Linked DNA regions of Oreochromis niloticus. The protein of the gene in region 1 purifies or fractionates together with the protein of each later gene. This does not show direct contact. Links are inferred from orthologs where the notes say so. Each region holds a gene or a part of one and is shown in the gene's direction. Other genes may lie near its edges.

Evidence for each region.
Region 2: the proteins of coa3a (region 1) and cox4i1 purify together in Homo sapiens (affinity purification with western blotting; 3 studies listed by BioGRID and IntAct, with this or other methods). This does not show direct contact. The link is inferred for Oreochromis niloticus from reciprocal best matches to the Homo sapiens genes COA3 and COX4I1.

Annotation. Positions count from the first base shown.
Region 1 is NC_031973.2:7,304,275-7,316,669, reverse strand, and holds coa3a (cytochrome c oxidase assembly factor 3 homolog, mitochondrial), read left to right. Parts: upstream 1-6,595; 5' UTR 6,596-6,735; coding exon 6,736-6,934; intron 6,935-7,954; coding exon 7,955-8,058; 3' UTR 8,059-8,428; downstream 8,429-12,395. Other genes in the region: uncharacterized protein LOC102076803, read left to right, coding at 78-167; cntd1 (cyclin N-terminal domain-containing protein 1), read right to left, coding at 449-565, 707-797, 2,489-2,633, 2,722-2,884, 2,976-3,147, 3,266-3,341, 6,201-6,375; wnk4a (serine/threonine-protein kinase WNK4), read right to left, coding at 10,353-10,355, 11,483-11,577, 11,679-11,884, 12,259-12,395. UniProt on the Homo sapiens protein: Core component of the MITRAC (mitochondrial translation regulation assembly intermediate of cytochrome c oxidase complex) complex, that regulates cytochrome c oxidase assembly.
Region 2 is NC_031965.2:23,276,678-23,290,283, reverse strand, and holds cox4i1 (cytochrome c oxidase subunit 4 isoform 1, mitochondrial), read left to right. Parts: upstream 1-7,311; 5' UTR 7,312-7,446; intron 7,447-8,204; 5' UTR 8,205-8,205; coding exon 8,206-8,281; intron 8,282-9,316; coding exon 9,317-9,481; intron 9,482-9,683; coding exon 9,684-9,815; intron 9,816-9,980; coding exon 9,981-10,117; 3' UTR 10,118-10,305; downstream 10,306-13,606. Other genes in the region: emc8 (ER membrane protein complex subunit 8), read right to left, coding at 3,438-3,597, 3,808-3,902, 5,155-5,224, 5,334-5,410, 6,786-6,998; dusp22a (dual specificity protein phosphatase 22-A), read left to right, coding at 11,978-11,998, 12,755-12,788. UniProt on the Homo sapiens protein: Component of the cytochrome c oxidase, the last enzyme in the mitochondrial electron transport chain which drives oxidative phosphorylation.

The DNA of each region.
Region 1 (12,395 bases):
TGTACCAGTCAATGTAAACACATTTGAAGATTCTGGGTTCTCTCTACGGCAACTCAGTTTTTCATTTCTTTCTGCAGATGCGATGGATGTTCATTCCCTGCATGTTTGCCTGCCTAATGACAAGAAGAAAGATGAGGAGGAACCTTCAAATGTTAATGGACACTTGATCCCCAGCTCAAATCCAGATTTGAGTGTTATAATAAATTGCAGTGCATCAAATTTAAGCGAGTGGATAAGTGTCAGCAGCTATAGTAAGGCTGTAACAGTATTTGAAACTAAATCAATTGTATTTCCACAGCTCTAATATCTTTTTATTTATTTGGCTTTACAGAATGAACAGTTAACAGTGTTTTTAACACTTTGGCAACATTGCCAATCTTTGGTGATTTTTTTATTTGTTTAGGTGACATTTCATTGCAGCACACAGATTTTTTTCTTCTCATGCCAGTCATGAGAGTGGAGTGATACTGGAGCTGATGCCAACAATGTGCACCAAAGTCGCGTGAGCGAAATCAGTGATGCTTCTCTTTGAGATTCTTGTGATGTGGCTCAGTTCTCCAACTACCTACAGTTAAACACAGTTAGATTAGATTCAGATTTAATTTAATTGAAATCAAGTAGGTGACTTAAAAATGTTATTTGAACCTTTAACAGTGACAACAATTTTGTTTGTAGGTGTAATATAAAAAAAGAAATTTTACTTTACCTCTTCCCACTTTCTGAGGATGAATGCAGCCACAGCGATGACACCAACACCCAGAAGCATACAGTCTTCAGTCACTGGTACAAATTTTTCCCTGGTTTTCACAAATGATTGATGACATATTAAATCACACAAAATCAAAACATTTATATTAACAGTGGATGGGGTAATTCTATATACTGATATCAGTCTCTTGTGACATTAAAAGTCTTTCAGCTCTCCGCTTTGGTTGATTAATTACAAATATTTTTTCACTCCCAGCATTGTTTAAAAAAAAACATACAGTTTACACAGTTTAGAAAACACAGTCTCAAAATTTTAGGTAAATAACTCAAACTTGAGAGAAAATCACTAAGTTGAACTAAACTGAACTTTTCAGAAAGTAACCTGAAATTTTGAGGTGGATGGAAAAAAATGTTGGGGTTTCGTTTTTGTTTTTACTTGCAAGCAAGAGGACAAGAAGGGTTCAGATCCAGCCTGGGGCCTCTGTGTGGAGTCTGCATGTTCTCCCTGTGTCTGTGTGGGTTTTCTCCAAGTACTCTGGGTCCCTCCACAGTCCAAACACATACATGGGGTTAGGTTAATGGGTGTTTTTAAATTGACTGTAGGTGTGAATGTGAGCGTGATGGTTGGCTGTTTCTCTGTGTTAGCCCTGCAACAGATTGCTGACCTGTCCAATGTGTACTGTACCGCATCTCTCACCCGCTCTAAACTGGATAAGCAGAACAAAATGGATGGAAACAAGACTCCATTTCTGATGCAACATCTTAAATTATTATGAACAATAGTAGTCCTGACGAGCTGTAGGCTTTTGAATTAAGTGAAGTGACACTGAAGTATCTGTGTGGCAACCAGAAAAGAGCTGGTCGAATTCTCTAAATACTAAAGAATGGCGCTTCAGGGCTTCCTGTATTACCTCCTTCAGCAGAGAATACAGCAGACCAACCTTTATGAAAGGAAAGCAGATAAAGCTGTCCCATAATTCACAGCAATACATCATCAGACCAAAGGATCAATATGACTGATGTATGTAATGCAGATCATGTAAATGTTTTTTAATTGTATGTTCAACTTTGTGCCATAACCTGCTAAGTTTTGAAGAAGGTAAAAAAAAGGAAAAGGGTCTTTAAATCAGGATGATGAGCTATTTAAGGTTTATTGTAATTCAGTTTGCTAACTCAGTCAGTTATGTCCTCAGTTTAATTGCTGCTGTATTGCCAACCTTTATGATTGCGATGAAATTTTTTAACTTCAGTCAGAGAAAGCCTTAATATAGGCAGGAATTACACTGGATCTGGAAATATGAGCTGATGGGATGAGAAAGTAATCTCAGGGTGACAAACATTTCATTTCACTTTATAGGCCATTTATTTCTTTTTATTTAAATTTATAACTTCAGTAATGAAGTCATATTTTCACAGTTTCTCTATTATATGAGCCGTATAAAACAGTATTATAAGGACAGTGAAAAGGGCAAAGTATATAGGATGAACCTTTTGTAGTCAGATTTCAGCACATTGCTGTCTTAACATCAAAAACCTATGTATCCAACATCTGTGGCCACATTATTAAGCAGCTAATGCAAGTGCAGCCAGATTCTCTGAGCACTGTGGTTCTCTTTCCCTGAGTCCTTATGAATTCTTCAAATCTTTAATGGATCTCATGACATTTCCCATCAAGGTCACACAAAAGTGATTTGGACCATCTGACCTTTGAATGTACTCCAAAGCTGCATGTCCATTCTACCATCTATCAGAAATATTTTCTTAGAGCCAAATCTAATACCTCTGTTCCCTGGATGGGCTGACACACTCAGTGGTTGCCATTAACAAGGTTTCATAGATGGCAGTCCTCTCCAGGCTGATAAACTGGAGAACATGGTGGCAGTAGTGATAAAGGTGCTTCAAAGGGATTGATGGCTCATTGTGTCCTACAAGAGTTTATGTAATCATCTCAAAGCCCTGACATTAATATTTATAATATGTAATAAACTTTTCTGTGCATACACGGACCCTTACCGAGAACTTCCAGAAGTATTTCCACATAAGTCAGTGGGTTGAGGACATTTAGTCTGAATTTAAGCCCTTTCAAGACCATCAGCTCTGATTCCAGGAGAGCCTGTTTGGATACAGTGCAGCCGACTGAGTGTAGAAAATGTACAGCAGTGTTGTTGTCAATCATCTGGAAAAGGTGTGGAAAAATTATGCAAGATTATTCTATTTGTGATCTCAGGGTAATTGACATAAGTAATCATTGGCAAGGCAGAACTTGCATGACTGTGCAGAGACAGTTTGCTCGCAAGCTGGACACAGGAGAAGATGATCAGCGGGAATTTGTCCTTCAGTTTGTTATAAACAGCATCCTCATAATGTCTCGGATGATTAGAAGTTGCACCTTTAGGTGTGGGTGTGGTTATGTAATCTTCAATGTATTTGACCATGAACCTGGCAAAGATAATTATTAGAATTATTATTATAAGTGACAGTATATTAAGTATGACTAAAACCAGTAATACACAGGGTGTAACCAACAGGGAAAGTTACATGTGCTGCGTGATCATACCTTTGAAGTAATTCAACAGCGTGGTAGCCAGCCAGCGGATCCAGTCTCAGTTCTTTAGTTATCAGTAAGATGTACTCTGAGTAACACAGGAGAGGAAGGCACAAGAGCAAAACATAAAACATTCAAAATAATTTAGAAGCAACATTAAAGGGACACTTGACCCCAAATTCAAATTTGCCAATGTTTCTATACTAGTTTGATGTGAGTTCTCCAGTTTAAGAGCTGCTGAGAAGTCTACCTTCAGTTAATCACATATTCTAAGGACTGGTGCTCAAAAAGCCATTAGCCAGTGAGTATATCCTGGATACTTTTCCTTTCTGACTTTTAGAATAGACCAAAGATTCACTCATTTGACCTGAAACTAGTGGTTTAGCCCATAAAGTCCTCAGGAAGTTATTACAGAGATCAGAGCTGTTTCCCCATAAACAACTATAGGACTGAAAGTCTTTTTGGAGCTGGAGAAATCGTTATGGATATTTAAAATATGCGGGTTTAGACCACTTCTGGGTTGGCCACACTTTTTTTAATCCTACAAAGCTTTGTCCATCCTTTATACCTACCTTTCCAAATTGCCTGCCTGTGTATATACAGTTAGAGTGTCTGCTCACCTTTCTCTACCTGCTTTCCAGCCTTCGTGTGTTTTCAGATTTAAGGTTTTAGCAGGTTAGCTTTCAGTTTCCCTTTTGAACCTAATGTTGCATCTTTTGGATTTAAAGCAACTCAATAAATGGCTTGCTTTAAGTTTCCCTTTGCCTACTTGAGACTTTACATTTAGGTCCTCATCTCTGCAACATTTGACAATAACAGGTGAAACCAACACTGATAAGCACTCCTCACAAGGCTGTTCCCATAAATCTAGCCATATAAACTGTATTTTAGCTGATTTGTGGGCTACAAGGAAGCATATGGATTCATTAAAAGTTATTATCACTGTTTTCCATTGCTCCTCCTCATCCTCTCTCACAGGATTTGTCTGCGGAGATGCTCCTAGCTGGTAGACTCAGCTGCCTCAAGGAGTTTATATTGTGAATCGACCTCCATAATGACAGGGTTCACAGATCCAGATGTATGAAAGAGTTCAGAGTGATTACAGGGTGCAATGAGGCTTAGTGGGCCATTCAGAGGTAGTCCTATACAGCTTAGTCACTACCTGCTGACAAAAGACAGACTTCACCCCAAAGGCTTGAGATACACAAGAAACACTCTGCTGTAAGTCTAGTGTGTACACAGTAGTGGTTTATAGTAGTCTATCTACCATGGATGATATGCTGCAGTTTTACTTTAAGTCTGCATTATTTTCATCTGGACTATTTTTTTAACATTATTTTTATCTGAGCAAGGTCACTACAGTTAACTGAAATTAAATGAACAACTATAGGAGTAAAAACATGTTAAAAACTTGATTTAGTCTAATCAATAAATTAATTTATTTTTCATAACCAAAGATGTTTTGTTTACTTAGAATATTAAATAAAAGTAATCCAAACATACATAATGATTTTAGCTGTAGTTTTTGACAGTTTGGACAAGTTTGTCATTGAAGCCAGCCTCAGTTTGCTTTAGCACTTGTTTATTGGGCGTTTACAAGACTATAAAAAGACAGTTGGCCTCACAAAGTGTTGTGTTTGTAGTGTGGCTCTTTACAACACATCTGTCTAGCAGAGAGCCAGCTGTTCTCTCTTATGCTAGCAGTATATTTCATGGTATAATACTTCTGCTGTGCCTTTTCTTTTAAATGCCTTTAGTAAGCATTTTTTTTTTTCTGTTTTATTTTGCTTTGTTGCAGGGGTGTCCAACTCCAGGCCTCATGTGCCGGTGTCGTGCAGGTTTTAGATGTGTCCTTGATCCAACACAGCTGATTTAAATGGCTAAATTATCTCCTCAACATGTCTTGAAGTTCTCCAGAGGCCTGGTAATGAACTAATCATTTGATTCAGGTGTGTTGACCCAGGGTGATATCTAAAACCTGCAGGACACTGGCCCTTGAGGCCTGGAGTTGGAAACCCCTGCTTTATTGAATTTACTGAGCTATTTTTAAACCTTTTTTTTTTTTTTCAGTTTCAAAAATAGCATTTAATTAAATTGTTCTTTCTTGTCACTTTATTTCAATGTATTAAAATTTTAACTTAATTGGATTTTTAACATTTGAGTTGTTTGAGTTATTTGGGTCATTTGATTTCTTTTCTTTATTATATTTTTTTCTTATTGAACTCACTTGTTCTGGCCTATTATATATTATTTTGTTATATGATTTCACTTAAGTTATTTTATAGGGTATGTAATGACCTGGTGTTTTTTTTTTTTTTTTTTTTATCACAGAAAATTCTCAAATTTGGGATATATAAAGTATAGTATACTTCATATACCCCAAATTTGTGTAGTATATCCTCTCAGCGCAGATCTGATAATGTCATTCTGAACTTCCCCCACCATTACAAAACAACAACAACAACAAGAACAAGAAAAACGACTTACAAATAAAATAACAAAGAGTAAAGTAATGAAAAAGGAAAGGAGAAAACAACAAAAAATACAAAAAATATAAATAAACAATCTGTAATTGTGAGGCATGTTAAGAAACAAAACAAACAAACAAAATCTATAATAGTGAGCATTTAAAAAAATCTACAAAGAATTGCAAACACAAAACAACCACATCTAAAATTAAAGAACAAATAAACAAACAAAAAACAAAGATAAAATCTCAGAAATTTGGAGGAAGGTTTAAAAAACCCAAATACATTATAATAAAACAATAAAAAAAAACTTCTACTTGGCTCATTGATAAATTTCAGTTGGCAATAACGGAAAGAAAAACGGTTATTCACGTGATTCCAGCTGAAAATCTTGCGATATATATTTTTTAATTACCGTTACGAATAAAAGAGTACAAACAAATGTTTTCTACAAAATAATAACATTGAGCAATACTCACCAATGACTCTCTTATTTCTGAAATTCCCGCAATATTTCGTTAAACTCGGGAGGTCATCTTTGTTTCTTTTGTCCAGATTTACAAGAAAATCAGTCAGTAGGTCAAAAGAGGCCTCCCCGAATTTTACACCTGCTGCGTTACTTTTACTTGGAGAAAAAAATAATCTTTTCGCCATTTTAAATTACTCTGAGCACGACAGACAGCTACATTTATGTGACAGACTACGCTTAAGTTGTATTTAATTTTTCAAAACTAGACACCCATAAATAAATAACCTGCGTCTTATATTTTCCAAAAGATGGCGCTATTCCCGCACGTTTCCCCCGTAGGACCGTTTTCTAACAGGAACCAAAAACTACTTCAGCGACTCATTTGTAAGTTGCACACGTTGGTTCTGTGGCGGTTCCTCTCAGCGCAGATCTGATAACACCCGGATAGGACACATGCAGCGCGCTTTGACAGAGCAGAGTGTTTAGAACGCAGCGGCGCGTGTAACAGTTGTGAAAGCGCCGTGCTAACCTCACAAATTGCAGATATGGCCGACAAAACGCCGCCTCAGAAATCCAACGCTCCATATGCAACCAGGATAGACCCAACCAAAGAGGGTCTTTCTCAAGATCAGATGCATTTTATCAGACAGGTGGAACTAGAACAGTGGAAGAGGAGAACGTCGAAGCTGCGGACACGAAACGTGGTGACGGGACTCGCTATCGGAGCGCTCGTGTTGGGAATCTGTATCCTTGTCAAACGTCAACGCAAGGTGAACTATGTAACGTTAGCTTAGCATGCTAAAGTTAAGCTGTGTCCTCTGTTTAGGAGTTAGGTTAAGCGCGTTTACCAAGTATTAAGACAAACACAAATGTATGGGCTCAGTCCAAATTTTAGAATTAAGTTAGAGTAATAGCTCTCAGTTTCATTGAATGCTAATGTGACAGCTAGCTCAGGTAGCTGTAAAAGTGTACTGCCAAAGGTAAACATCAGTGTTGTTGCGTTTAAAAGAGAATTAATTAAGAGAGTTCCAGGGTTAGTAATTTAACTTTTTAGAGATGGCAACGAAAAGTGGCCTCTGGAGCACCTCGTTTGAAGGAATTTATTATTCTGTTGATCAATGAAATTCATTACCTGAAAGCAGTGATACTTCCTCGTGTTTTTTTTGGGATAAACGTGTTTCCTGAACGCATCACTGGCAGCTTGTAATGACAGATGTCGAAATCTGAAAGCTTCGTCCTTTTAGACGTCTAGGTGTTGTCTTTACATAAAAAGTAGTTTTATACAGTCGATAACAAAGCTTTTGCCAGGGGAAAAAAAAGTTGTTTAATATAACAATAAAACTATTAGTTACTCCATTACTGCATCCATTTCTGTAACAACTCTTATGGGAGTTAAGCGCGTCAGTAGCAGCCAGGTGCTGTTAATCAAATGTACTTGATAAGTTTGCAAAGTTGCTTCTGAACAAACCATATGACTCCTTGGACAGACGAGACCAAAGTGGATTGACAGTAATGCACAGCATATGAGTACAAACACCTTACTGTCAAGCACAGTGGAGGTATGATGATTTGGACTTGTTTTGCAACCATAGGATCTGGACACCTTGCAATCATTGAGTTTATCATAAACTCCCCTGTATACCAAAGTATTCTAGTGTCAAATCTGTGGCCATCTGTCCAACAGATAATTCTTCTTCATTTCAGGGAATTTGTTTTGTTTTCATGCTTTCAAATATTTCTCTTAACCACGTGCTTCCAAATTAGACGGCTACACATTTTACTCAGTCTCCCAGGAGCGGATCATGGATGAGATCGACGAGGAGGCCAAGCGTGCGAGAATGCAGGGACCAAAAACCGGTGTCAACTGAGATTTAAGTGTCATCTGCTTGTTGTTGGACTTTGTTCCTGTCCTGCACTTAACAAGGAGGAGGACTCATGATGCCACTGATCATATTCCATGGCTGCCTGGCTGCTGTATTCTTTTTTTAATGTTGAGAGAACTGGATCTTGACCAAGATCCAGTTCAACCAATCAAGAACTGGTCTCGATTTGAAGGCAATTGTGTGGCTGACTTAAAACTAAGTGCGGTGTAGTTTTGAAGAAGTTTTCCTGTCAGTGGAAAGGACCAATCCACTGACTTGATCATGACGTTAGAAGCTACACTGTAGCACAATCAGCACCCTTTACTTTAATTGGGGCTGGAAACATCAGGTAAAGGGAATATAAAAAAGAAATCAATGACTTAAAAATCTACAGTGGCCTTCAACAATAGAGAATGCCAGTGACACTGCAGAAATAACATTATTTATGCTGATAAAGTTGATTTATGAAATAAAATAAAAGCCTCATGTATTAGAATGTTTAAAAGCTATGTCTCTGTATGACCATTTATTTAAGAAAAAGACACAGATAAAACCGTAAACATGACACAAGACACCGTAATACTTAGAATCGCATTTATTTTCATCAAAATTTAATATATGGAGTTGGATCTAGCCACCAAATCTCAAGAGCAAAATAAGACATTGTTAGGGAAAGGCACAGATTCAGCATGGCAGGACAGCAGCTTCAGGAAGCAATACAATTATATATTTACATTCAAATAAATCTGGACTAGAAACTTTATTTCCTTGAATATATTAAGATTCGGGAGTTTAGGTGGCAAGAAATTCAGTGTGTGATGGGAATATTTTAAGGCAACAGCTACAGATTCACAGCTTTGACTGATTCCTCTACACCCCACAAAAATAGACATTGTTTAAAACTGTGGGTGGGTAGATCATCACTTCTGTGATCAAACATGAAACGGGAGATTATCTACCTCCCTTGTGGGGGGGAAAAAATGACAGAAAACTCGTCAGCTCTCGCTTGAGTGAATAGTTTTACACACAACTGTGTTAATTGACTGAGAACTACAAGTGGATTTACTAAAGTGCACAAGGTGCTTGGTCTATGGAACAAGCGACAAATTAGACTTTTGTTTGAGAAAGGATTAAGGTAGCTGAAGTATTTAATTTGCTCCTAAATTGTAAACATGATCTATAAATGAATTCCATTATATACACATGTACAGTCAACAGGAAAGCCAGTAGTATAAAGTCTAGGTGGATTTTTTTCCCCATCCTTTCCCCATTTTTCTTTTAAAAAACCAGCTACCAGATTTTGAAAGTGATGCGTAACAGTTTTACACTTGTGCACCATTTAACTGAACTTCTGCTCATGTGTTTAAAGCCAGATTTCCCTTTTGCTGAAGAATTGTACAACATTTCTAACTGTTGGGAAACGATATCTTACTACACAGCTGTACAATGGAGAAAAAGAAAAAAAAAAAAAAAAAATTACCTTTACTATATCTGAAAATATCAGTGATTGCAGTCAAACATCTCCAGGCTGAGTCTAGAGAAAATATAGGTGTCCAAATCAATAAAGGAAGCCAGATAAAGACTACAACAAATAACTGAATGAAGCCCCTGGAAGGCATTGATCACAGTTCTACTAAAAAAACCCCAAGTATGTTCACTGTGCAGCTGCTGAGACATCTTTACCAAACTACAGCGAGTAAGGTGTGTAACAGCTGTCAGTGTGTGTGTGTGTGTGTGTGTGTGTCAGCCTCACTGTTCACATTTCTGTGCTCAGACTGGATTAACAGCAGTGAGTCAGACAAGCAGGAAAACAGCAACTGTTGTCATTCTGCGTCAAAATCGTGGTAAAGTGCTGCAACTCGGCAGCTGCGGCACAGCATACCGCCGCTTGACTGCGTTCAGGCAAAAAGATAAAAATAATGTCGTGATGCGACACTGTGCAGAGCACTGCGGCAGCCTGGAATGAAGGTGGTTACGTCTGAACCGTTGGGATCTGACAGTTTATTTACAAAGAGCAGACACGAACGTGTCACTTGGCTGCTATTCTGTGCTTCAGCTGCAACAAGTTCACCAGGTCGTGATGGTGGGCTGAAATCTGGAGGTTACACTTTCTGTGCAAATCCAGCTCCACTGGTGACGAGTTTCTATACATTTGAGGTAAGTGGCCACCGGCGGACAGGGAGCAGTTTGCAGATAGGTGTGCCAGGGTTAAAGCGATCCTCCTACGGGACAGGTTTGACCACTGCAGTCACACTTCAGATGAGGTAGTCCAAATAACGGCGTGCTTGGCTGGGAGTTTGTTACTAGAAAAGTGAAATATAAGAATACGATTTAGGAGGACAATGGTTAAAGGGTGGCTACAGGTTCTTATGAGTATAAACCTCTCCTGACATTTTTGCCTCCTCTACACATTCAGGTCAGGAAATGTAACTCGATGTATTAGGCTCTTTCAGGCTGTTTTAATAGGCGTTGAAACAGTTAGCAGTAACAGTTGGATGATAAAACACATTAGCTGATTTAATGGATGTAACAGTTTAAGCTAAAGACTGCATATAAAAGATGGATGTGGTAATTGTGACATCACCCATTAGTAATTGAAGCCTCAAGCTAAGCGTTTTTGCAGTCATGACCCATTAGCAAGTGAATGCTCGGTTTCTAAGATGGCTTTCTGAAACATCTGAGAAACCGATGGACGCTGCACACTGGTAGGCTAACGACTAATGGATGTAACTCCGGTTTATCCTCCATTCTGACTCTGGGTGGGATCATAATTTACAAAATGAACATCATGTTGTATTGAATAAGACACAAAACTTGGAATTGAGTGTTTCATGACGTCACATGTCAAGGCAAGCCAACTGGAGGAGTTGCCCCCCTGCTGGCCATTAGAAATAATGCAAGTTTAAGGGTCTTCAGCATTCCCTTACTTTCCAGACCCAGAAGCCATCTTTTGCATACAGACTGTTTTAGATCCAGGGATTTAATGGAAACCCTGAAGATGCTTTTAAAGTTTAGTGACAAATATGAGGATAATGAGACATGACGACGAGAATAACAATTACTCTTGGTGGTTCAGGCTTTGTTGGTTAATCTAATTTGGATCAACAATAATATTTTTACTTTGTTTTCATAATAATAAACAACTGGAGGACCATGTTTGCATTTCAGCTCACTGTCATGTTGATGAGACATCAGAGGAAAAAAACATTTTTTATGTGAATTTCAATTGGAAGTTTTTTCTTAATTTGAATTTAATGGCGTTTTAAAAACGGCATTAAAATAAAGGCATGAATTGGTTTTTATGGCTACACCTGTGCGTTTATGTTAATTAATGTGCAAACAATCGCTAAATTTAACTTGTTTATACCTGCAGACACCCTGTTTCATTTGTCATATAATTCAAAAGCTTGTTAAGGAAGTGCTGACTCACCATTCTACTTAGGTCTGTGGCAAAAGTGACGCCTTTGCAAGGTTTGTCCTGCGAGCCACTGCTGCTGCCTCCAAGAGAGTTTCTCCTAATGATACCTTGGAAAGCAGTACATGACTTATAAAACTCATTCAGACTCGAAGCTGTTGCATATTTACATGATAATAACTCTAATAAAGAAAGGAATATTCTTTGTTACCTTGAAGCGGTAACATCTCCAGTCGCTGAAGGCTGTTCCTGCGAGACGAAGGAAAACCGTTTCCTTTGGAGAGGCGGCGCTGTCGGCTGGACAGCATAGCAGCAGGAGAGACGATGCCCGGAGGGGGGACCTTTCCCATCTTCTTATACAGTTCCTCAATTTCTCTTTTCTGGGCAGCCTGCAGGGCCAGAACTTCTGCCAGATGTCTGATAAAGGACAAAAAGAAGCACATTTAAAGACTCACTCAATCAGAATTTTAATTTAGGCCTTTGATTAAGTTATGTACTGCATTTGAACATGACTTTGGGAGAGTTGGGGGTTTTATCTAAACACAATCTGTTTACAGTAAAGACAATAAGTCTGTTCTCTTGTCTGGCAAATCTCGACATCTCCTTGTTATTCTTTATATCAAAACAGACGCAATTTTTTTTCAGTGCTCTCAAACTCAATTTGATACCCAAAAGACTGCCAGATATGAATGCTCATAATGTAGCTTGTCTAGGTAAACAGTTTAAAATGTTCCTCAAACAGCTTTTTTTGGTACTCTGTTACCTTAACTATCTTAAGTGGTGTCACTTACTTCTCTCTGAGCTCCTGAAGCTCTTCCAGCATGTCCTCATCTTCACTGTCTGAGTCATCACTGCTTAGGTAGGGAGCACTGCGGTTATAAGTCATCATCCATAAATTGTGAAGGGCATTGGTGTACTGTGGACTGTC
Region 2 (13,606 bases), on another chromosome or scaffold:
CTGTACTGAAGAACCTACAGCGATGCTGTGTACAAGAAGGGGATCAACAGATTACTTTCTGAGGAAGTCCAGATCCTTCAGTGTGTTCAGCAAGATGTTGAAGAACTTCTAACGGTCTGTGCCAGCATCCGGGCCAGCTTTGACGGAAGGATCATCAGTCTATCTGGAGGCATTTGGGTCAGTGAGAGACAGGAGGTCACTGAACATCATGGACAACCCATCACACCTGCTCCTTTCTACACTACAGAGCTCATTCTCCCTCAGACTTATTCAACCTTGTTGCCATAAAGAACCATTCTTGCATTACCAATCTGCAGAATTCTGTTTTACATAACCTCAGTCTTATTATGTTTTCTATTTCATTCATATTTCATTTTTTATCACAGTTTTACATGAAATTTTCACATTTTACAGCCTTCGGTGTTTTCCTATCGTACTTTTTAAAAATATTTCTGTTGTTCATTATACTGTTTTTATTTTTATTCTTTCTGCTGCTGAAGTAATTTCCCTTTTGGGATCAACAAATCCATCCAAAGGATTCTTCCTGGGTTGTACAAACGGCCTCACAACATTCACACCACACATCTCAAATAAATTTGCTGAGATAAAACGAACAAAGAAAATTGACAGAAGACACCGCAATCTATTATTTAAAGTAGCAATGAAACTTCTTCATGAATCCAAACCATTTATTTTAATAACATCTGCTCTCAAATCCACTTCAAATATTTCCTGTCAGTGGACTGTGCTTGAGGTATTTCTGCAGAAATACACCCATGCTGTAGTTAGAATTAGTTTCAGTTCATTTTCGTGCACTGATAGAAGAAGTACTTATCTTTACTGAAACTAGAATACTACATTCACAATTTAAACCACTTTCACATCTCTAACATCTCTGTTTTAATTCCATGTTTTATTTTGTTTATTACTATTATTTATTTATTTTTGCTGATATGGCAGTGTGTAAGTAGCATGTAAGAGTAACTAGTCAATGTAGGGACCACTTTATTAGCTTTTTATACATTTAAAAATAATGTAAGTAGCTGTCAGATTTCTGTTTTCTCACTTAATGTGCTGGAGTAGAAAGTAGCATCAAATGAATACGGATATTAGGAAAATATACAGTGTCATTTGTTTAAAAACTTCCATGAGTTCATCACAGTCTTGCTTCAGATACGACCACACTGTCATTTAGTTTTCATTTTACAAGAATTACATTATGCAGAGTATGGGAGACTGAAGCTATAGATTGGAATGGTCACAAAGCATGAAATAATCTGTAGACACGTGCGAATATGAACTTTGCACCACTAAATTATTAGAAAACCGCAGCTACTGTAACAATTCATGACGTCTAGCACTCTGAGGTTATTGGCTGTACCTTGGTCCAGGTTAAAGACAAAAGGTGATTGTGGCTCCAAAGTTATGGAACTTGCTTCCACTGGATCTAAAGTCTGTGGACTGCTTGATATCTTTAAAAATAAACTTAAGACCCATATATGCAGGATTGCTTTTATTTAGTTTTTTAATATACCATTTTATTTGTATCGTACTCTGTGCTGTAAAGCACTCTGTGTATTTTGTTCTTGAATAAAGCTATTAAAAAAACCTTAATTCAACAGGCTGCTGCTAAACCATACAAAAACCCCCAAAGCTGGGCAGTGATTATTCTAAAAGTGATTTTAGGCTTTTTTTAAATTGTCAAGGCAGAGATGCAGTCATGTGAAAAAGAAAGCTTTCACATGGCTCTGGTTGTAGAACCACCTTAAGAGCAATAACTTGAAGTGCTTGCTTTGTGTATGAGTTTATCAGTCGCTCACAGCGTGGAGAAACTTTGACCCATTGTTTTTTTGTAACACCGCTTCAGTTCATTGAGGTTTGTGGATATTTGTTTATGCACAGTTCTCTTAAGGTCCAGCCACAGCATTTCAATGAGGTTGAGGTCTGGACTGGATCAACTACAACACCTTGATTCTTTTCTTTTTCAGATGTTTTCTTGTAGATTTGCTGTTGTGCTGTGGATTATTGTCCTGTTCCTTGACCCAGATTTGACCAAGCTCTCAGACAGATGGCCTCAGATACAGAGGGTTTCATGGCCAGTTCAGTAACTGCAAGGTGCCCAGGTCTTGTGGCTGCAAAAAAATCATCACCCCTCTTCCATTACGCAACTGTTGGTATGAGGTGTTTGTACTGATATGCTGTTTGTGTTTTCAGTTTGTCTTCTTTGTTTGTGTCCAGAGGACTTTGTTCCAGAAGACTTGTAGTTTGTTCAAATGCAGCTCTATAAACCTAAGCCTATAGAAGCAGTAAGGCTTCACTTTACCTTAGCATGGCTGAACAGTCCTTTTGCAAATGACTGTATAAGACACAGCTTAATAAGTTTAACACATAAGAGGCAATAAGAGACCTGGGAAACATGTAGATGTTTTCAAAAATCAGTTTCATTGAACATTCAGCTCAAAACAATTGCAGTAGAAAATGTTTCATCGACACAATTAACTGATTAATTCTAACCTCAATTACAAAAGGTGTTTCTGTAGTCTCACAATAAATATTAACTTTTTAATATTTGGATTTAGAATAATCAGTTAAGTGTTAACATAGAATTTATCTAGTTCTTAGAACGGATATCCACACAAAACAAAATTCACACATTCCTGTGATCTGATTCAGTATAGAGCCGGTCTTCCAGATCATAAATCAAGAGCCAAAATGCACACGTGCATCATCCAGACTGACATTCTCCGTCGCATTAGTGGCAGTAACGAGAAGCATGCACGCTAGAAATGCATCTACGGAAGGATTAAAGTTGGGGCTTTTGAATGGGCCAAATCTCTGGTTCAGCGTCATCTAAAACTTTCAGACTTCACTTATATATGTGAATTTTCCTTTAGATCTTTTATAAACAAGAAATTTAATAAAGAACACACATTTATCCTATCAGTTGTAAAATCATTACCTAAAAATTAATAATTTAGAACTTGATCTCTGTATGGCTAAAAGCAAATGCATTGGTTTAAACCTCTAGAATCTAAACTTTTACACAAAACAGGATATCAAAACCCATTGCAGGGGAAAAAAACCCAAAGTTGCATAAAAAAAAAAATCCATAAAAGCTTTCATCACTGCAGCATCAACCTGTAAAAGGTGGACATGGGCCAACAGTGCACATATGATGCTTGCCCTTAAAACATTTTGGCCTAACTGGCCAGCGCCCCACAAGTTCCCATCAGCGAGAGAGACTTTTTATGGAACACAGACTATAGGTTCAGCTTTTTCATTCTCCTGTGCTACACAAGTAGCAGTGTGCATGCTGAATTGGCAGCAATATATTTGTTTGCGTGTGTGTGTGTGTGTGTGTGTGTGTGTGTGTGTGTGTGTGTGTGTGTGTGTGTGTGCGTGCATGTGTGTGTCATGGGTACTCCCGACTGAAGGTCTTAGCACAGATCCAGGACGGACTTGTTAATAACAGGGTTGGTCCAGTCGTTCCTCAGATCATCCAAGTGATTGTCAAAATCAATCAAGTTCTCATAGGAACGGCCCACCAGCAGGGCAGATGTGATTTTCTGTGCTTCGCTCCAGTCCTCAAAGGAGTCACTGGAAAACAGTTTTTTTGAAAAAATTATATATTCAAGCTATTAATACTGAAAATACAGGGTAATTACAGTGTAATGTACTTTGTCTAAATAATCCAAGTAAATGAGAGAACACTTGGAGTTGTAAATATGCTGGAAGCTCCGAGCTAGCTGCACAAATAGTCGGCAGAGGGAGATAAAATCTCACACTAAAATAGCTCTTAACACTTACGCCGTTACTTCTCTGCTTTTCCACTTGTTTTCATGGTGATCATAGATCAAGACGATGGGTTCGGAACAGCTCATTGTTAACTTACTGCTGTCCACCTGCAGGAAAACACGCAAAATTTACTGTGAATTTAGGTGCAACTTTTAGGTGATAACAACAACAACTGCAGACCAGACCAGGGTCTAAGAAAAATGTCTTTCAGAAAAAGTGTTATATATTTTATAATACATGTAATTATTTCGCCCAGACACGTCTGAGACTGAGAGCTGCATGTCAGACTCTGAACGATCCAGTAAAAAGGCAGCTACTTCAATGATCTCCAACAAAACAATGCTTTGCAAAATATGGAAGAAAACTGTTCCTGCTAAAGGTGGAAACGACAAACTTGTGTCACCACTTGAGGCAAAAACACCCCGTTGAGTATGATGGCATGTAAGGAGGAGATATAAGCAGCTGGGGATATGTCGAGCTGGAGCACTTGCCAGCTGTACTACAAATGACAGGTAGAGCAAATAGTGGCTAGAAATTACTGATGCGGTTACATGGTGGAAAAGCAGCTGACTTTAAGCAGCTGGTTAAAAAAGCACCCTGGGTAGAAATTATTTTGTTTTATTTCAGTTTTAGTATGTTTCAAAGTACTAATTCAAAATCTTTGCACAACCAAACGTGTGACAAAATTCCACAGAAACAATTCGAACTCATCGCACACTCTCCCACTTACAGCTAATACGTTTAAACTATAAAATTACAACCAGGCTCTTGCTGAAGGTCAACAGGACCGAAACATTGTCATTTATTAAATGCGAGGATATTGTGCTTACATTTGCTGTGTCACTGCTATTGCACTACAATGCCGCTGCTGCTGCTGGCACCTTGTGGCGATAGATTCACACTTCAAATTGGGCAGTGTGTCATCAGTGATAGCAGCTCATTGGAAAAGAAGGATGAAAGATGTGCTACACTTTGTTTGCATGGATTAAATCCTGCTGTCTGCGAGCTGCAATCACCTATAAAGGGCTCAGCATTTTTTTCTACATCATCATAAATGTCATTATAGCAAATTTCACTGAAATATCTGAAAGAATTTTGAGGCTTTATTTTCAACCTGTAGAACCACATCAGTCACTCTACTTATACAATATTATATATTACTGTATAAATAGAGACATAAATAGAGGCTTGTGCTGACAAGTGTATTTAAGGATTTTGGTTCATTTTTACTGAACTAAAACTCAGCTGCTACCTGAAGAGGATGCATTTATAACAATGGATGCAGCACTTGCTTTGGAGAAAAAACCCCAAAACATAACGTGTAACCCAGTTGCATCAGCCTCAATAATTTATAGTTACCATAACAATTGCTGCTTCACTGAAGTTCTCAGAAATTCTGGCCGCCACTTTCTCTGCAACTTGGTTGGGCCTGCAGGAGAAAAGATCAAGCATATATTAAAGTGAAGTCCAAACCAGGATGCAGCATGGTTTCTCAGTGGTTGTTTTTCCCTGGAACAGCAGGGCGCCAGTGTTTCTACCTTGAATCCTTTGTGCGTTCGTTGGCTTGATAATATCCGACAATGACATAATTATTTTCTTTACACCAAGTGTCAATCTGGAGTTGGAGCAGGGGCCCATCAGGTCGAGATATAAGAACAGAAACATAGTTTAGGTCAGGTATATTTTATTTTAAACATAGGAAAATGAGCTAGACTGAAACTTTATAACTATTTCAGAGCTGCAGACATTAATTTGATATTATTTCCAATCTCACTACCATAAATAAAAGTGAGACAACATTAGTAATGGATTTTAGAGTAGAGCAGGATACTTCAACAGCACCACAACCTAACAAATTGCTACAATAAAACATTTAAAATGAAAGAAAAACTGTAATGTCACTTTAGAGGGCATACTAGATGGCAAGTGTCTAAACCAGAATTTGTAATCAAACAAAAGATAATATTAAACAAAGATGCCCTGAGTAAATACAAAATACAATATTTAGTCAGGGGGGAAAAAAGCTACCCAAACCTACCTGGCTCTGTGAAAAATTTATTGTCCCCTAAACCCAATAACTATTTGTGCCACCCTTGGCAGCAAGACCTGAAGTCAAGTGATAACTGGAGAAATGCCAAAGCATTCCATACAGATTTAAGTGCAGATTTTGACTAGGTAACCTCAAAACTATCACTCTGTGAATGTACTTCTTTTTAACCACTCAGAGCTGGACTTCCTCCTTTTTTTCAGATTATTGTCCTGCTGTATAACCCAAGTGCACTTTCTGGTAGAGCAGAATTCATGGTTCTAATTACAAGTGTAGCCATTTTTCCAGGGCCTAAAACAGCGAAAGCAACCCCAGACCATCACACTAACACTGTGTTTGATTGTTGTTATGATGTTCATATTATGAAATTCTCTGGTAGTTTCATGCCAGTTGTAAACAGGTTTATGGTTTTTGCCTTAGAGCTCTCCAATGGATGCCATTTTCAGCCAGTGAATCATGAACTCTGACCTTAACTGAAGCAAGTGACACTTGTGACACGCAGGTCTTTAGTTGTTTGGGGTTCTTTTGGGACCTCCTGGATGAGTCACTGATGTGCTCTTGGAGTGATTTTGGTAGGCTGGCCAAGCCTGAGAGGGTTCACCACTGTTCCAAGTTTTCTCCACTGGTTGATAATGGCTCTCATCATTCTAATGACAACAAGAATTGCTCTGCAACCTTTCCACGCCAGCACATACTAGTGACTTTTTTTCTTCTTCTGAGTGCCTTTAGATCATAGAAAGATGGAATACTTTGAGTTGTTTTTAAACAGACGTGAAGTGATTTCTTGCTGTAACAGATCTACAGTAGTCAGGCCTGGGTGTGGATAGTGAATTAAGTGATTTTTTTTACTTCAATAAATGAAATCATCACTTTAAAACCTACATTTTCTATTTAATTGGGGCAAATATTTTTTTTTCACAGAACTCTATATGCAGATACTTACCAGCGTTAAGGCTACTTCCAGCATTGGTGCCAGAGCTAGAGTACCGTGAAACAGAGGCACACAGTCCACGCACAGAACTGGCTCACTGTGGCTGTCTTTCTTTTTGTCCTTCTTCTTTTCTGCCACCAGCAATCCATTCACGGCGCAGTGTGGATATTTGGCAGCATGTAAAAGCATTTTACAGTACGTCTGACTTGTCAGCTGAATGGGCATTTTTATAAGAAAATCGGCAGAATTTCAGTAAAGACTAAAGCTGCCAGAGTGGCTAAGTTAGACGATAAGGAGGGGGGGACAGCTGCCTGCTACCGTTAGCTATCGTTACTTAACATGCCCGGAGAAAAGTAGATGTACACCTCAGCAGTTAACTTGCTGCCACGATATGAGGTCGGAAGTACAGTTTGTGATGAGTTCATTAAGCTCTACAATTATCCGAAATGACAGCAGTCCTTTTATGCTGGATAAATTAGTCGGCGTGCAGTCACAGAAGCTAATCTTACTTCCACCTTCCACTCGTTGCTGTAGCACCGGTGGTGCCGTAAATCAGAACTGTCGTAAAACGAGATCAGAGTCCATCCGGTCAAACGCACAATTTACGTTTTTCCGTTCCCAGTCACACTTCCCTTCAGACTGTCGGCGTACGGGAGCAAGAAAGAGACAAGAGGTATGATTTTATTTTATTTTTTTAAACTCAATAATAAATTACTTATCCTTCGTAGATATACATAATTTTAGCATCCACGTCATGTGCATCCTAGGAAAAAGTAACGGCTTGCGAAGAATCGCCTATTTTAACCGAAATAAGTAGTGACTTTGTCGGAGCGGATAGGAGCGAGGACTGGCTAATGTTCCGGGTAGCTGTCATTAGCATGTAGCATCAGATTTATGAAGGCGGGTTTGATGTGAAGATAGTACATGTTTTAGTCATCTGCCGTTATTACGCATTAATGTAGTTTCAGTCAATAGAAGAATGATGAATATTGCATGGTCGCATCAGAGAATCTGGTATTTCTACGAATATTTATCCTCTGGTGCTATGACCTTGTGTTTGTTGCTAATGCTAACATCAGGTTAGCTGGACGGTCGTAGTAAAACCAAACATTTTGCACTCTTAACAATAAGCCCACCAACCTGGACGATTATTTCATGTATGGAAATTTTACATATTGATGGTAACTGACTTATTTTAAAATGAGTCAGGATTTTATGTATATAAATAGCTTATAAAAGATTGTGATGCGTACTATGTAAATATGGAGCACCTACCCTGTGCAGCTTACTCTCTGTTATGTATGTACATGATCTCGTATTGAAACGGGGTTTACTTTAAAAATTAAAAGACAGAAACAATTGTAAAGTTATTTAACCTTTATTAGTGCTTAATACGGTTTCTTAATTTCTCTTATATGACGTTTTCCACAGAATGCTGGCAACCAGAGCCCTAAGCCTTATTGGCAAACGTGCCATTTCCACATCTGTCTGTGTGCGTGGAGGACATGGTAGGTATAAGAAGAAATACATTGAATGTGTTCTATTTATGGCTGGCAGTAAAACAATAGACTCTGCTTGTGCCACTGACCCTTTGAAATCTCTGTTCATATACACCTAAACGTTTAAAATGTACCTTCAGTTGGCCATTTAAAATAAATGAAGCTGTTTGTGTTGTAAAATTAATCCATGTTCTTCCTGTAATACCACATTTCTAATATGTAATGGGAGCTTGGCTGGTGTGAAGAAAAAAAACTTGTCTCTAGTAACTGACACCTTAAGTTAGTAAGTATGGCAATAGATTAAAGAAGATGCACCAGTTTTACATCCAAAATTACACAGAGATAAAATGTTTTTTTTAAGTACAGATTACGCTGGGTTTTACTTTATTAACAAAAACAAAACAAAACAGACTTTTCAGGAGTGCTGTTGCTGCTGCAATGTTGCAGTTTATTATAGGCCAAATGAGAAACTAAACACTGCTCACAATCAGAAACCCACCCACACACACACACACTAATTGTATATAAGACATGGATGGGGCTGTTTTCCCATAAACTTGTATCTAACAAGTCTTTATCCAATCAGAGAAGTGGCCTCACTGCTGGCCATAAAAAAGAATGCAGGTTTAAGGCACTTATCCAGTGGCTTCACCTTTCATACCTGAAAGCTACTATCAATCTTTTATACTACCTGTGAATATTTCTAACATTTTGTTAGCTATAATGTTATTTGATAGCTAACAATGTAGACCAAGCTTGCACCAAATAAATATATCAATCAAAATGTTGACAAGTTTCACAGTTTGACTTGCAGTGTTCTGCAGTTTCAAGTGGCAGTACATCTAAACAGTGATAAACAGTGATAAACAACACTACAGTGAACTAGATCCAGCATTTGAGAGCAGAAATGTAAGAACAAAATTAAAACGAATCTGGTCTTGGAATAAGCCCGGTAACTAAAATAAGGTTTAAAAAAAGCATTGACATTAACTGAGGGATTATGTGTGAAAGTAATTTGATGAGTTACTGTGGTCTCCCCTGCAGGTGTTGCTAAGGTTGAGGACTATGCCCTCCCTGCATACTTTGACAGGCGTGACAGCCCTCTTCCCGACGTCAGCTATGTGCAGAACCTGAGTGCAGAGCAGAAGTCCCTGAAGGAGAAGGAGAAGGGTTCTTGGGTTGCACTCTCTAATGAGGAGAAGATTGCATGTAGGACTCAATAACGCTATAGTGTTGTTCACCCATTTATACTAATGTAATGTATAACTGCACCACTCCTATTATGTAGGATAGCGAGTACTAAAATTGTTTAAATTCATGCTAAATAATGGGAGTGGTGTAATATTCCAAGAGTATTTGTGTTTCCAAATTCTTAAAAAATGTAATCTAGAGTTGTTTTTCCACTTTACAGTGTACCGCATCAGCTTCAAGCAGAGCTTCGCTGAGATGAACCAGGGATCAGGAGAGTGGAAGTCTGTGGTTGGAGGAGTCTTCTTCTTCATTGGCTTCACTGGGCTGGTTGTGCTTTGGCAGAGGAAATATGGTAATTATGAAAAATATTGCTTATATGCAAGGAAACCTGTGTAATATCTGATGTTTAGCTGCCTCAGGTTTCCACGTTGGTTAAGTAAAGAATGCAGTATTGAACACATTTTTTGCGGTATAATCTGGCTCATCACTTGACTCATTTTTTTTTGTTTCTTTCCAGTGTATGGACCTGTTCCACATACGTTTGAGGGTGACTACAAAGAGAAGGAGCTGCAGAGAATGCTGGACATGAGAATGGGCCCAGTGCAGGGTTTCTCAGCCCACTGGGACTACGAAAACAAGCAGTGGAAAAAGTAAAAGACCAAGAGGACCATAACAGTTCTATATACAGGCAGACCAACTCAAAGATACAAAAATACATATATTTCTGTATTTATCAGATGTCCACATTACCTCACATTACCTGTGATTTTTGGAAGACCACTTCCTCTTAAGGTCGTTGTGTATAATAAAAATAAAAATTGTTAAACTGGTTAAACTTCTGATTAACTGTGTTAACTGTATGACTCCTTCATTAACACTGATTTTACATATCAGGTACAAACTATGGCAGCTAGATATAAAATTATTCTTAAGGTTGAAATATATCTAATATATATATCTGTTTGTTTATTATTTTCTGTAACCATAATCCTGAATTTTGAGTACATTTTGGTCTATGGACCGCTGAATATTGCTCCAGTTTTTCTGAGGAAAATAAGATGCAACTATTTGGTTGTTTCTTTTTCTGCTGAAGGGTGTAATGGACTGGTTCTTATATAGCCCTTTTCTACTCTGTCTGAGCACTCAGAACGCTTAAGACAACTCTGTTCACCCATTTGCACAAGCACAATGGTATTTCTATGCAAGTGCATTCTAACATTCACTCGCATTTACAGCAGCTTGGGGTTAGTTCCCGAAGGATATTTGAAATGCAAACTGGAGCACACAGGGGTCAAACCACCAACCTTCCAATAATTACGTGGCCTGCTCTACCGAGCTGTGATGGAGTTTATCATAATCAGAAAAAGTTGTGGAGGAATTTGCATGAAAATTTTTACAAGATGCATGTCTTGGTTCGTTGAAATCTGGATCCAGGAATGTTTGGACTCTTGTACATAATGTACTCTTATGAGAGTAATGAATATTACAATGAGAGGGAAATGTGTGTCATATCTTTACAAACATCACATTGACACAAGAAATTGGAAAACATCCTGTGCTTTTATGGGAGCACAGGCAGCCCCAAAGACCAGAATTTAGAGCCAATGTTTTACCATTATTGCCTGAAGAAAAGTGGCCAAACTGCATAATACTGCTCTGAGGCAACAAACCAAAAATGGTATTTTAGTAAATAAATTAAATCAGAATCTGCCATAAAAACGTATTTCAATTTAAACATGCATAAAAATGAAATTAGACTTAGCAGCAGCTAGGACTGTAAGCTGTGTCACATGCAGACTTGGCCCCGGAAAGGATTGCCCCACCCCCAGATCAAAGATCAATACCTCATCTACTCGTTGTTTAGCTAAGCACGGAGGTGTCTTGTGTCACAAAAGAATAATAAAAATAATCACCAAAAATGTTGTTTGCTGCCTGAAGGCATCAGCATACCATAGAGGGCTAACATTAAAGACTAAACAACCATACAGGGTTAACTTTGATCCCCGTTTACGAAAAATGTTCAAATCCAGGTGGGGCTGAGGCGAAATTGCAGCGATATCTATGGGTTTTCTGTGTTCCTCATAAAATTAAGTTTAAATCTTATACTGTATACTAGGTCTGATTGTGAGCTTATCTCTAGCTTCCCCCTGAAGGTGTAAGCTCAGAAAGCACAGTTGTTGTGTCGCCTGCAACATGCTGTGATGTCACACGCCGGATGAACCCGCAGCTGCACCCGCTTCACGTCAAAATAATCCGGAAGACGACACAGCATGACGGAACTGTTGTTGGGGCTGAAACGAGGTCAAAGCTAAAACAAATACAAGTGGTTTTAAAGCAGTTTAATCTAATAATGCTGTTAAATATGAGGCAAAAGTAGCGTCTGAAGCGAAGGTTATTTAACCGCTTAAAGAGTCAGTGCAGTCACACAGGCTAACCTCGCATTTTGGATTCCATATCCTTGCTCTTCAACGCATTAAAGTCTTTTAGCTAACCGCAGACTGTTCCAGGGATACCATGGGCAACGGAATGAATAAGGTAGGTTTGCTGTTGTTGTTTATGTCATGTCATTACGCTGTTTGGGGGTGTTTTTGATGGTTAAAAGTCCAAAGCGTGGCTGGTAAACGCAGGCGCCAATCACTCGTCGCTAATCAATCACGTGACACGCTCTGCCCTGTCAAAAAAACAAAAAACAAATTTGAATCCAAGCCAGGGCTCCTGTGGTAGACTCTAACCTTCAATACTGTTGTTTGCCAACCTTAAGCATCGGTGTCTGCATGTCATGTTTTGTTGCTGTGATATTGCACTCTCATTGTTAATTGACAGTTAAAAGGGTCCTCCTAAAAAGAAAAATCTAACTCATTTTGCTTTTATTAAAAAGTAAGATTGTTTATATTGTTTTGTTCTTAAAAATGAAATTGGTCATCCGCATCTATTTTGAACTGCCACAACAGTGTTCAGGTACTGTAGTGAAATGTTTCATTAGAATCAATCCAGCACTTAATTACCTTCATACAGCTATTGTTTCATAGGTATAGTACCAAAGCTGTACAGTAACACTCAGTGGCTGTTTGCCACCCATCACATCATTCAGATAACCATGCATCATTGCTTCAAACCTTGTATGGCCATAAGGAACGTTTCCTTTGCTCATAGCTCCACTAGGATCTTAAGCCTTAAGCTTTAAATCCAATCTGGCTCGAACTAGAACATTTGTTCTTTTCATGCGAGGTTCTTGAAGCTGAATTGTAATGAACTTCTAAGTGCAACATGTCTGTGACTGCTCCTTCACAGGTTGTTGATGGACTCTACCTTGGGAATATAAGAGGTAAGACAAACATGTATGTAGATTTATTGCTTTAATTACATACAGTATAGAAAGCCCAGTTGGGCCAGGTGTTTGGTGTAGCATTAGAGTACAATATTTTGCTCTGAGCACACTTTAAGTATTATTAATTCTCAAATAATGTTTAATTAGTGGAATTTTAACTCAACATAACGTAATCTTCTATATGAAAAGGTGATACATATTTTTAACATAAGCCCTCCCTTTCAAGCACATATATTTGTAGCTTAAAGAGTAAAATAATGTAATATTGTAAAGTCTCGCCTAGGGCTGTTCGATATAACGATATATATCGGATGACGATAGAAAAACGTCTATCGTTTCATTTTACGCTATCGTTTGTTTCGTGGTGTCGCAAAATAAACTGTTTACGGCAATAATTTTTTCATCATTTTGATGGTCACTGTAGTGGCTATATTAATTTCTTAAAGTTCTCTTTCTCTTATATTTAATATAACCACACTACGGACGGACAAGCGCTTGTTTTTTATGCGTTGTCGTTAGCAACAACGACGGTAAAACCACGGGGTGTCCGCTTGTTTATTTTCCACATAAACCTTTCACAATAAAGCTCAAGATCCTGTTGAGACTTTTCAAAATAAAACGAGTCACGTGAAAGATGCAGAGTATTAACGGATGAGAAGCAAAAAAGAGCCGCCAGGTGCTAAAAAATAAACCTTAGACTCAAACGTTAGAACAGACTTTTCTCCGCAGCATGCTGTGTAATAAATACTCACAAAGAAAACAGCGGCCGTTACAACTTACGTCTAAAAATGTATAGTTCCATGCATCAGTTAAAA